Macaca fascicularis: one gene and its partner. The protein of the gene in region 2 interacts with the protein of the main gene of each other region in a pairwise test. Links are inferred from orthologs where the notes say so. Each region holds a gene or a part of one and is shown on either strand. Other genes may lie near its edges.

Region 1 (4,323 bases), on a different chromosome or scaffold from region 2:
CTCCACTGAGTTGCAATTTTATGCTCATGTTCGTGACTTACCCACTAGACTGCAGCTATCTGAAGAAGATGAATGAATGATCTTAAAGCCACATTCTACAAAGCTCAATCAGATTCTTTGAAGTTATTACTTAGGAGAGACCTCACCAAGAAATTCACACAGGTCCCTCAACCAGGACAAGAGCAACTGACACATGGATACTTACTGGTACTCAGAATGTCCTGATGAGAAATGAGATCATTCAGGGTCTGTGGCCGGTATTTTTCAACCCTGAAATACAATTTAGTATGTATTATGACATATATACATGCAAGAATATTTTATGTGTAAAAGAATCCTTGCAGGTCAGGCACAGCGGCTTACACCTGTAATCCCACCACTTTGGGAGGCCGAGGCGGGTGGATCATTTGGGGTCAGGAGTTCAAGACCAACCAGACCGACCAACATGAAAAAACCCTGTCTCTATGGCCACCTCCTAGGGTCTTTGTAAAGATCGAACATCTAACAGGGCGTCTGCTAACCCAATAATATGCCATTCAATAAAAAATACCCAAAAATACAAAAATTAGCTGGGTATGGTGGCATACCAATGCAGCCCCACCTACTCAGGAGGCTGACATGGGAGAACTGCTTGAACCTGGGAGGCGGAGGTTGCAGTGAACCGAGACTGCACCACTGCACTCCAGCATTCCAGCCTGGGCGACAGAGTGAGACCCTGTATCAAAAAAAAAAAAAAAAAAAAAAAGAATCCTTTCATATCCTAATTTAAAAAGCAAGAAAAACAAAGCACTTTAAGTTTGAACACAGACCAGTGGTTCTCAACCAGGGGTGATTTTGTCCTCCCAGGAACATCTCGTGATATCTGGAAACATATTTAGTTGTCACAGGTGAGCAGAGGGTCCTATGGCACTTAGTGTGTAATCTCTAGGAATGCTGTTAAACATGCTACAGTGCACAGGACAGCTCCCCCAAACCCACCCAGAGTATCTTGCCCAAAATGTCAATAGTGCCGAGGATGAACTCTGTTCTAATTTCATCTTTCCAGCTGTTTGTCTATAATCTCAACCTGATGGGCACCTACTATTTCAAAGTGCATTTGAAACTGAACTCCTACCCAAATAGCCTTCAACAGAAGAATGGATAGGTAAAACCTCTTCTGTCCACACAATAGAATATGATTCAGCCATAACAAGAAATGAACTACTGATGCAAGCAGCAACATGCATGAACCTTGAAAACATGATGCTGAGTGAAAGAAACCAGACACAAAAGGCCACATAGTGTAGGATTCCACTTACATGAAATGTCCAGAATAGGCAAATCCATAGAGACAGAAAGTAGATTAGTGGTTGCCAGGGGCTAGAGGAAGGGGAGAATGGGGAGTAACTGTCAATGGGCACAGGATTTCTATTTGGGGTGATGAAATTTTGGAACTAGATAGTGGGAAGACTCCACAACAGTCCACTGCATTCGGAATGTACTTAATGCCGCTGAATTGTACATTTTAAAATGGTTACAGGATGGGCTTGGTAGCTCGCCTCCAAAAGTCCCAGTTTTTTGGAGGCTGAGGCAGGAGAATGGCTTGAACTCCAATGTTTGAGGTGACACTGAGCTGTAATCACGCCACTGCACTCCAGCCTGGGCGACAGAGCAAGACCCTGTCTCTAAAAAAAAAATATGTAAATACATGAAATAGTTACAACTGTCAATCTTCTGGGTTTTTTTAACCACAATAAAAACAAATTGGCCGGCCACGGTGGCTCAAGCCTGTAATCCCAGCACTTTGGGAGGCCGAGGCGGGTGGATCACGAGGTCTGGAGTTCAAGACCAGCCTGGACAATACGGTGAAACCTCGTCTCTACTAAAAATACAAAAATTAGCCGGGCGTGGTGGCAGGCTTCTGTAATCCCAGCTACTCAGGAGGCTGAGGTAGGGAACTGCTTGAATCCAGGAGGCGGAGGTTGCAGGGAGCTGAGATCGCGCCACTGCACTCCAGCAACAGAGGGAGACTCCGTCTCAAAAAAACAATTTTTTTTAAACTAGTTACTAGACAATGACAACTTGGAGCTTTTCGAAGCCAAGCCAAATTGCTTCAAAGTCTTGAAAGCATTGCTAGAACACAGTTGTTGAAGTAGGATGGTTAAGAGTACAAGCTCTGAATTCAGACTTCCTAATTCACCTCCAAGCCAATTTTTTAGCCTTGGACCATAGGGAAGTCATTTAACCCTTCTAAAATGCAGTTTCCTCCTGTGTAAAATTTGAAGCGGTGCCTACCTCTTACGGTCTTTGTAAGGATCGAACATCTAACAGGGCGTCTGCTAATCTAATAATATGCCATCCAATAAAAGTTGACCAGGGAGCCTTATTACTAATTTAAAATGTGACCAGTAGTCGCATCGCAGGTTTTGAAGAGTGGGAAGAGGGCACTTTGGCATGGAGGCCATTGCAGGTGTCAGGAGACACGGAATCGAACCCCTGTGCTGTCACGAGGTGCGAAAGCCGACTTCTTCTTCGGCAAATGGAGCTGGGCGTCAAAGGGTGACAGCTGGCAAAAGTCCTAAACAGACGGACGAGTCTGGGGAGCTGGGGGGTGTCGGAGAAAACCTTTGCGGCTCGGTCCCGGCTGCAGGCCCGGGGGAGACGGGAAGAGGTCGGGTTGGGGTCCGATCACCTGCCCACTCCAGCCACCTCCTCCCCGCGCGGCTGCCCGGCCCCCTCTGCCCACAGCCGCCGCTCGGCCTCTTCCTACCAGGGCAGGTTCCTGATCTTGGCCGCCGCGGGCAGCTCCTGCTGCTTGAGCGCTGAGGTCTCCATGGCGGGGAGACGAAGGTGACCAGATCAGCTGAGATCGTCGCGTCACCCAAGCCCCTGTCCAGTGACCAGCCGCGACCCGGCCCTGAGTTCGACCCTGGCACTTAGAGTTCGCGCGCAAAAGCAACTCTCGCGAGCCGTAGCCACCAGTTTCCGACTTCCTCCCTCGGTCCCGCCCCCTCGCGTTGCTAGGGCGCCGGTTGCTAGGTTACCGGGAGGCGCGGGCCGCCGGCCTTCCTCCAAGCTCCGCCCCTCCAGCCTGCTCTGAGCTCTTAGATACCCAGGCGCTTTCAGAGCAGGGAAGCGGGAAAGGCAGGGCCCCCTGCAGCCCCAGTCATCATTACATATTAAGATCGCACGGCCAAAGCCAATTCCTCCATCGCCAAGCTTCAAACCCTTACGTTCAAAGGAACAAAAGCTGCCGGGGCTAAAAAAAAAAAAAAAAAAATATCTAAGAAAAAAACAGCCCGGAGTAACACGGTTGGGTCTTGAATATAGACGCCCTTGTGAAAAAAGGCTCGCGATACCTCTCGGCCCCAAAGCTGGGAGGTGAATGTTTGGAAACGAAAACAACCCCAAACAAACACAACTGCAACCTACCTGTCTCCAGAATCCGTGTCCCTCACCCAACAAAATTTGGAGAACCAACCTCCAGAAAACATCTCCAGAGAAAAACAAACAGAAACTTCCAGTTGGGTTAATCTGTGTCGCTGGAAGGATCTAGTTCATGAACACAGAGGACAGGGTCTCTGTGATCTGAGATACTGAGGAGAATCGATATCAACATTTTAGTTTTTTTCCTGAAGCGAGGAGAATTCTAGATCGCTTTTATTTTCTTCTTTTTTATCGGTCTGTATTTTCTTTTCTTTTTTTGGAGTCTCGCTTTGTCACGAAAGCTGGAGTACAGTGGCACGATCTTGACTCACTGCAACCTCTGCCTCCCAGGTTCAAGCGATTCTCTGCCTCAGCCTCCGGAGTAGCTGGGAGTACAGGTGCGTGCCACCACGCCTGGCTAATTTTTGTATTTTTAGTAGAGACGGGATTTCACCATGTTGGACAGGCTGGTTTCGAACTCCTGACCTCAAGTGATCCACCCGTCTCAGCCTCCCAAAGTGCTGGGATTACAGGCGTGAGCCACCATGCCTGGCCTGGTCTGTATTTTCCAGCAATGAGCATGCAAAGCATCCATACTGAAGTCTTTTTTTTTTTTTTTTTTTTTTTTGAGACGGAATCTCGCTCTGTTGCCCAGGCTGGAGTACAGCGGCGATCTCGGCTCACTGCAACCTCTGCCTCCCGGGTTCACACCATTCTCCTGCCTCAGCCTCCCAAGGAGCTGGGACTACAGGTGCCCACCACCATGCACAGCTCATTTTTTGTATTTTTAGTAGAGACGGGTTTTCACCATGTTAGCCAGTATGGTCTTAATCTCCTGACCTCGTGATCCACCCGCCTCGGCCTCCCAAAGTGCTGGGATTACAGGTGTGAGCCACCGCACCCGGCTTTTTTTTTTCT
Region 2 (3,816 bases):
TAAGGCTGCAGGGAGCCATGATGGGGCCATTGCACTCCAGCCTGGGTGACAGAGTAAGAACCTGTCTAAAAGAGATAAGTAAATAACACTTTGTATTTTCTGCCACATTGCAGAATGGTAAGAGAGTGCTTTCTAGATTCTAGACTCTTTCTACGCCTACCTTCTAGTTATGAGATCCTACAACACTCACTTAACCTCTCTCTGTCATATTTCCTTATCTATAAAGCAAAAATGCCCCATATAGAGAGGACTGTGATATAATAAAACAAAAACCAAGAAAAGTAAAGCTTTTCTAATCTGTCACAGACTAAAAAAGTGTTCAGTATATGTGGGTCATTATTCCTGGTGCTGGTAGGAGTTATGTTACAACTTTGAGTCAAGTAATATGGTACCATATATTAAGATTAACAACAACCTCAGCAATCCCGGTTTGGGGTATGCTCCCAAAAGAAATGAAAGTACCAGGATAAAAGGGTGCATGGACTAGAAAGTTTTTGTAGCAATGTTGTAATAACTAAGTTCTAGAAACAGCCTGAAGCTCCATCAGTAGGGATATGGTTACATATATTTATTATATACTTATGGAATATTAGACATAAAAAAGTAATGAGTAACATAGAAGAGACAGATTATATATATTACATGTTTGTACAAACTTAGGGAAAGATATAGGTTACCCTACCTAGAGAAGTCAGATTGGAGAGGGGTGGGAGAAACCTTGAACTTTCTGTTTATATTCTTTATATTGTTTGACTGATTAAAATTTATTTGTTGCATCTGCTTGAAGGCAATGTAAAATAAAATAAATAAACATACATTTAAAAATAAAAATAAAATTTATTCATATCACTTTTGTAATAAGAGAAATTTTAGGCCAGGTGCAGTGGCTCACACTTGTAATCCTAGCACTTTGGGAGGCTGAGGTGGGCAGATCACGTGAGGTCAGGAGTTCAAGACCAGCCTAGCCAACATTGTGAAACCTCATCTCTACTAAAAATACAAAAATCAGCCAGGGGTGGTGGTACGTACCTGTAATCCCAGCTACCCTGGAGGCTGAGGCACTGGAACCCGGGAGGCAGAGGCTGCAGTGAGCTGAGACTGTGCCACTGCAAGCCAGCCTGGGCAACAGAGCGAGACTCCATCTCAAAAAAAATTTTAAAAAAAGAAAAATTTTAATAAACAGTGTTTAAGAGGGGAGAAATATTTCGTTAAAAGATAAGCCCATTTACGAAATAATTTCACTTGACCCAGAAGGTGGAGCTTGCAGTGAGCTGAGATCACGCCTCTGCACTCCAGTCTGGGCGACAGAGTGAGACTCTGTCTCAAAAAAAAAAAAAAAAAGAGTTTCACTTGAACCGTATTATGATTCCTTCTGTAAAAGATGAGAGGAGGCAAATTAACTCAGTGAAATCCCAGCAAAACTTACACAAAGTCTTGTTCTTCCTTCCTGTCATCTGTATAGGATGAAATACAGAGTGCTTTTGGGTTTTGTTGTTGTTTGTTGTTGTGTATTTGAGGGGAACACAGGTCTATAATTCCTTATCTGAAATCCCTGGAACAAAATGGGCTTTGCAATTCAAATTAGTTTAGAAGTTATAAAGGCAAAAAAAAAAAAAAAATGCATATACTCTAAATTTCAACCCCATCAGGGCCTAAGGCAGAGCCTTGTAATCAAATTCATCAATATATCTGCAGCAAAACATTTATTCAAATTAAGTGGGATAAATAAAGACTTTTAAATAGTCTCATCTCAGTGCAGTTCAGGGTTGGCCACTGTGGAAGACAGACTCAAGGGTGGCCTTCTATGATTTCTGCCTCTTAGTGTTCACACTCTCATAAAATTGCTTGTCTTTGAGTGTGAGAAGGGCTTATGAATTGCTTTTGACCAATAGGATATGGCAAAGATGATGGAATATAATTTCTAAGATTACATTTCATTATGTAAGACTCCATCTTGCTATCAGATTTTCTCTAAAGAGTCTGTCTCCTGAGCTCTCTCTGAAGAAATAACTGGCCACGTTAGACGCCCGTGTGCAAAGAGCTGAGGGGTGGCCTGTAGAAGCTGAGGGCAACCTCCAGCCAATAGCCAGAAATAACCAGGGCCCAAAGTCCTGCAACCATCAGGAAAGAAATTCTGCCTGCTACCTCAGTGAGCTTGGAAGTGGATTCTTCCTCAGCCTAGCCTCCAGGTAAGAACACAGCCTGACCAGTATCTTAATTGCAGCCTTGTCAGACCCTAAGCAGTGGGCCCAACTAAGCTGTGCCCAGATTCCTGAACCACAAAAATTGAGATAATATATGGGTGTTGTATTAAGGTTCTAAATTATGGTAATTTGTTTGTACTAACAGATAACTAATGTAACCACCAAATCATTTCAGGTTAGGCCACATTTTTGCAGCCCAATGAATCATGATAAAACTTTCCATTTTCAGGGATTTTTTGATTTTGTACTTATGAATACAAATTTGTGAAAGTATGGTCAGTACTGATTTAAAAAAATCAAGGGAGCAGGAAATTCAGTAAATGGTTCTAACATTTCGGAATCTGTAAATTGGTTGTAACATTTATCATCTGTGTTATCTAAGTCAAGTTCCTAAAATATGTGAATGATAGGCTGTCATACTCACCTACCTTTCTTGCATTGCTCTAAGAGTTGGCTGATCTATTAATAATAAACACTATGATCAGATCTAATACCAGGATGTGGTATTATGATCATCTATCAGTTACGGTGCTAAGCACTTTGTACATGTTGATGCATTTAATTTTGATGACAACTCAATGAAGTGGGGGCTGTTAATATTTTCATTTTTCAGAGGGGAAAACCAAGTCACTTGGAGTAACATGGGTAATAAGTGAAAGAATAAGAATTTGAAAGGTTTGTGCAGATAACCAGAATGCAATGCTCACTCACATCTAAGCAGTGAATCATACTAACTAGAGAAGGTATGAAGGCACTACTGAAATTAACTAAACAACCTCTCTGGCTGTGAGCCTGCTGAGGGACAGGTGGTAAACTTGGTTACTGCATAAGGCCCCTTCCATCCACAGTATTTAGAAATTCTTTAGTGCACATACCTCGATGACTGCTTAACATTTTCTTCACATCAAAGTAAAGCTCAGAAACATTGCACATAGTATGAAGTTCCAAGGAGACGGCCTCTGATGTTTCCAGTTTCACAGCCCAACTCCTAGAACAACCAGAGGCCAGAGATTTCTTCAGAGGTGCATTCCATCCAGTTCTATATACACATGCCCCTCCCCTCCTGCATTCATACAGGACTTACCTGCTCAAAGTGTCATTCACATTCTATAAAGAAACAAAAAGAAAAGGTGAGCATGGGAACATCAGTATTTCATGGGGCTTGTCATGCAGAGCTATTCTTCTTTGCTTTTCCCAAAGAAGAGAGTTACCCTGGTCTTAGATATTGATGGATACCCAAATAGAGTAATTCCCACAAGTCTTAGATGTTGATGGATACCCAGATGGAATAATTCCTACCAGCTTCTGGGAGATTCAGCATGGCAGGATGTTTATCAACATTTGCATCTATTCTCATCCTTGCTGAAGCATGAGGGCCAGGAGCTTTGTCCATGCTCCCTCTGTCAAGACTAGCTTTTGGTGATCGGATTTCCTTCACAGTGAGCCCAGATTAGAGAACACATATCATAAAGGTCCTTAGCGATGAATCTGTGCACAGCCCTGAGACTGGGCCACTAAGATGGTGGCAACAGGTATCACACAGTGGTAAAGCAATCATGCTATACACTCAACCTTACAGTATAGTCACCAATCCTGTTAGTTAGAACCAGAA

Evidence for each region.
Region 1: the proteins of TRIM38 (region 2) and RFC5 interact in binary tests that used the Homo sapiens proteins (3 or more experiments, as listed by UniProt). The link is inferred for Macaca fascicularis from reciprocal best matches to the Homo sapiens genes TRIM38 and RFC5.

What each region holds. Positions count from the first base shown.
Region 1 is NC_088385.1:124,992,934-124,997,256, reverse strand, and holds the start of RFC5 (replication factor C subunit 5), read right to left. Parts: upstream 2,937-4,323; 5' UTR 2,815-2,936; coding exon 2,750-2,814; intron 271-2,749; coding exon 206-270; intron 1-205. UniProt on the Homo sapiens protein: Subunit of the replication factor C (RFC) complex which acts during elongation of primed DNA templates by DNA polymerases delta and epsilon, and is necessary for ATP-dependent loading of proliferating cell nuclear antigen (PCNA) onto primed DNA.
Region 2 is NC_088378.1:146,954,016-146,957,831, forward strand, and holds part of TRIM38 (E3 ubiquitin-protein ligase TRIM38), read right to left. Parts: intron 3,312-3,816; coding exon 3,289-3,311; intron 3,193-3,288; coding exon 3,080-3,192; intron 1,568-3,079; exon of another isoform or gene 1,030-1,567; intron 1-1,029. UniProt on the Homo sapiens protein: E3 ubiquitin-protein and E3 SUMO-protein ligase that acts as a regulator of innate immunity. Acts as a negative regulator of type I interferon IFN-beta production by catalyzing 'Lys-48'-linked polyubiquitination of AZI2/NAP1, leading to its degradation.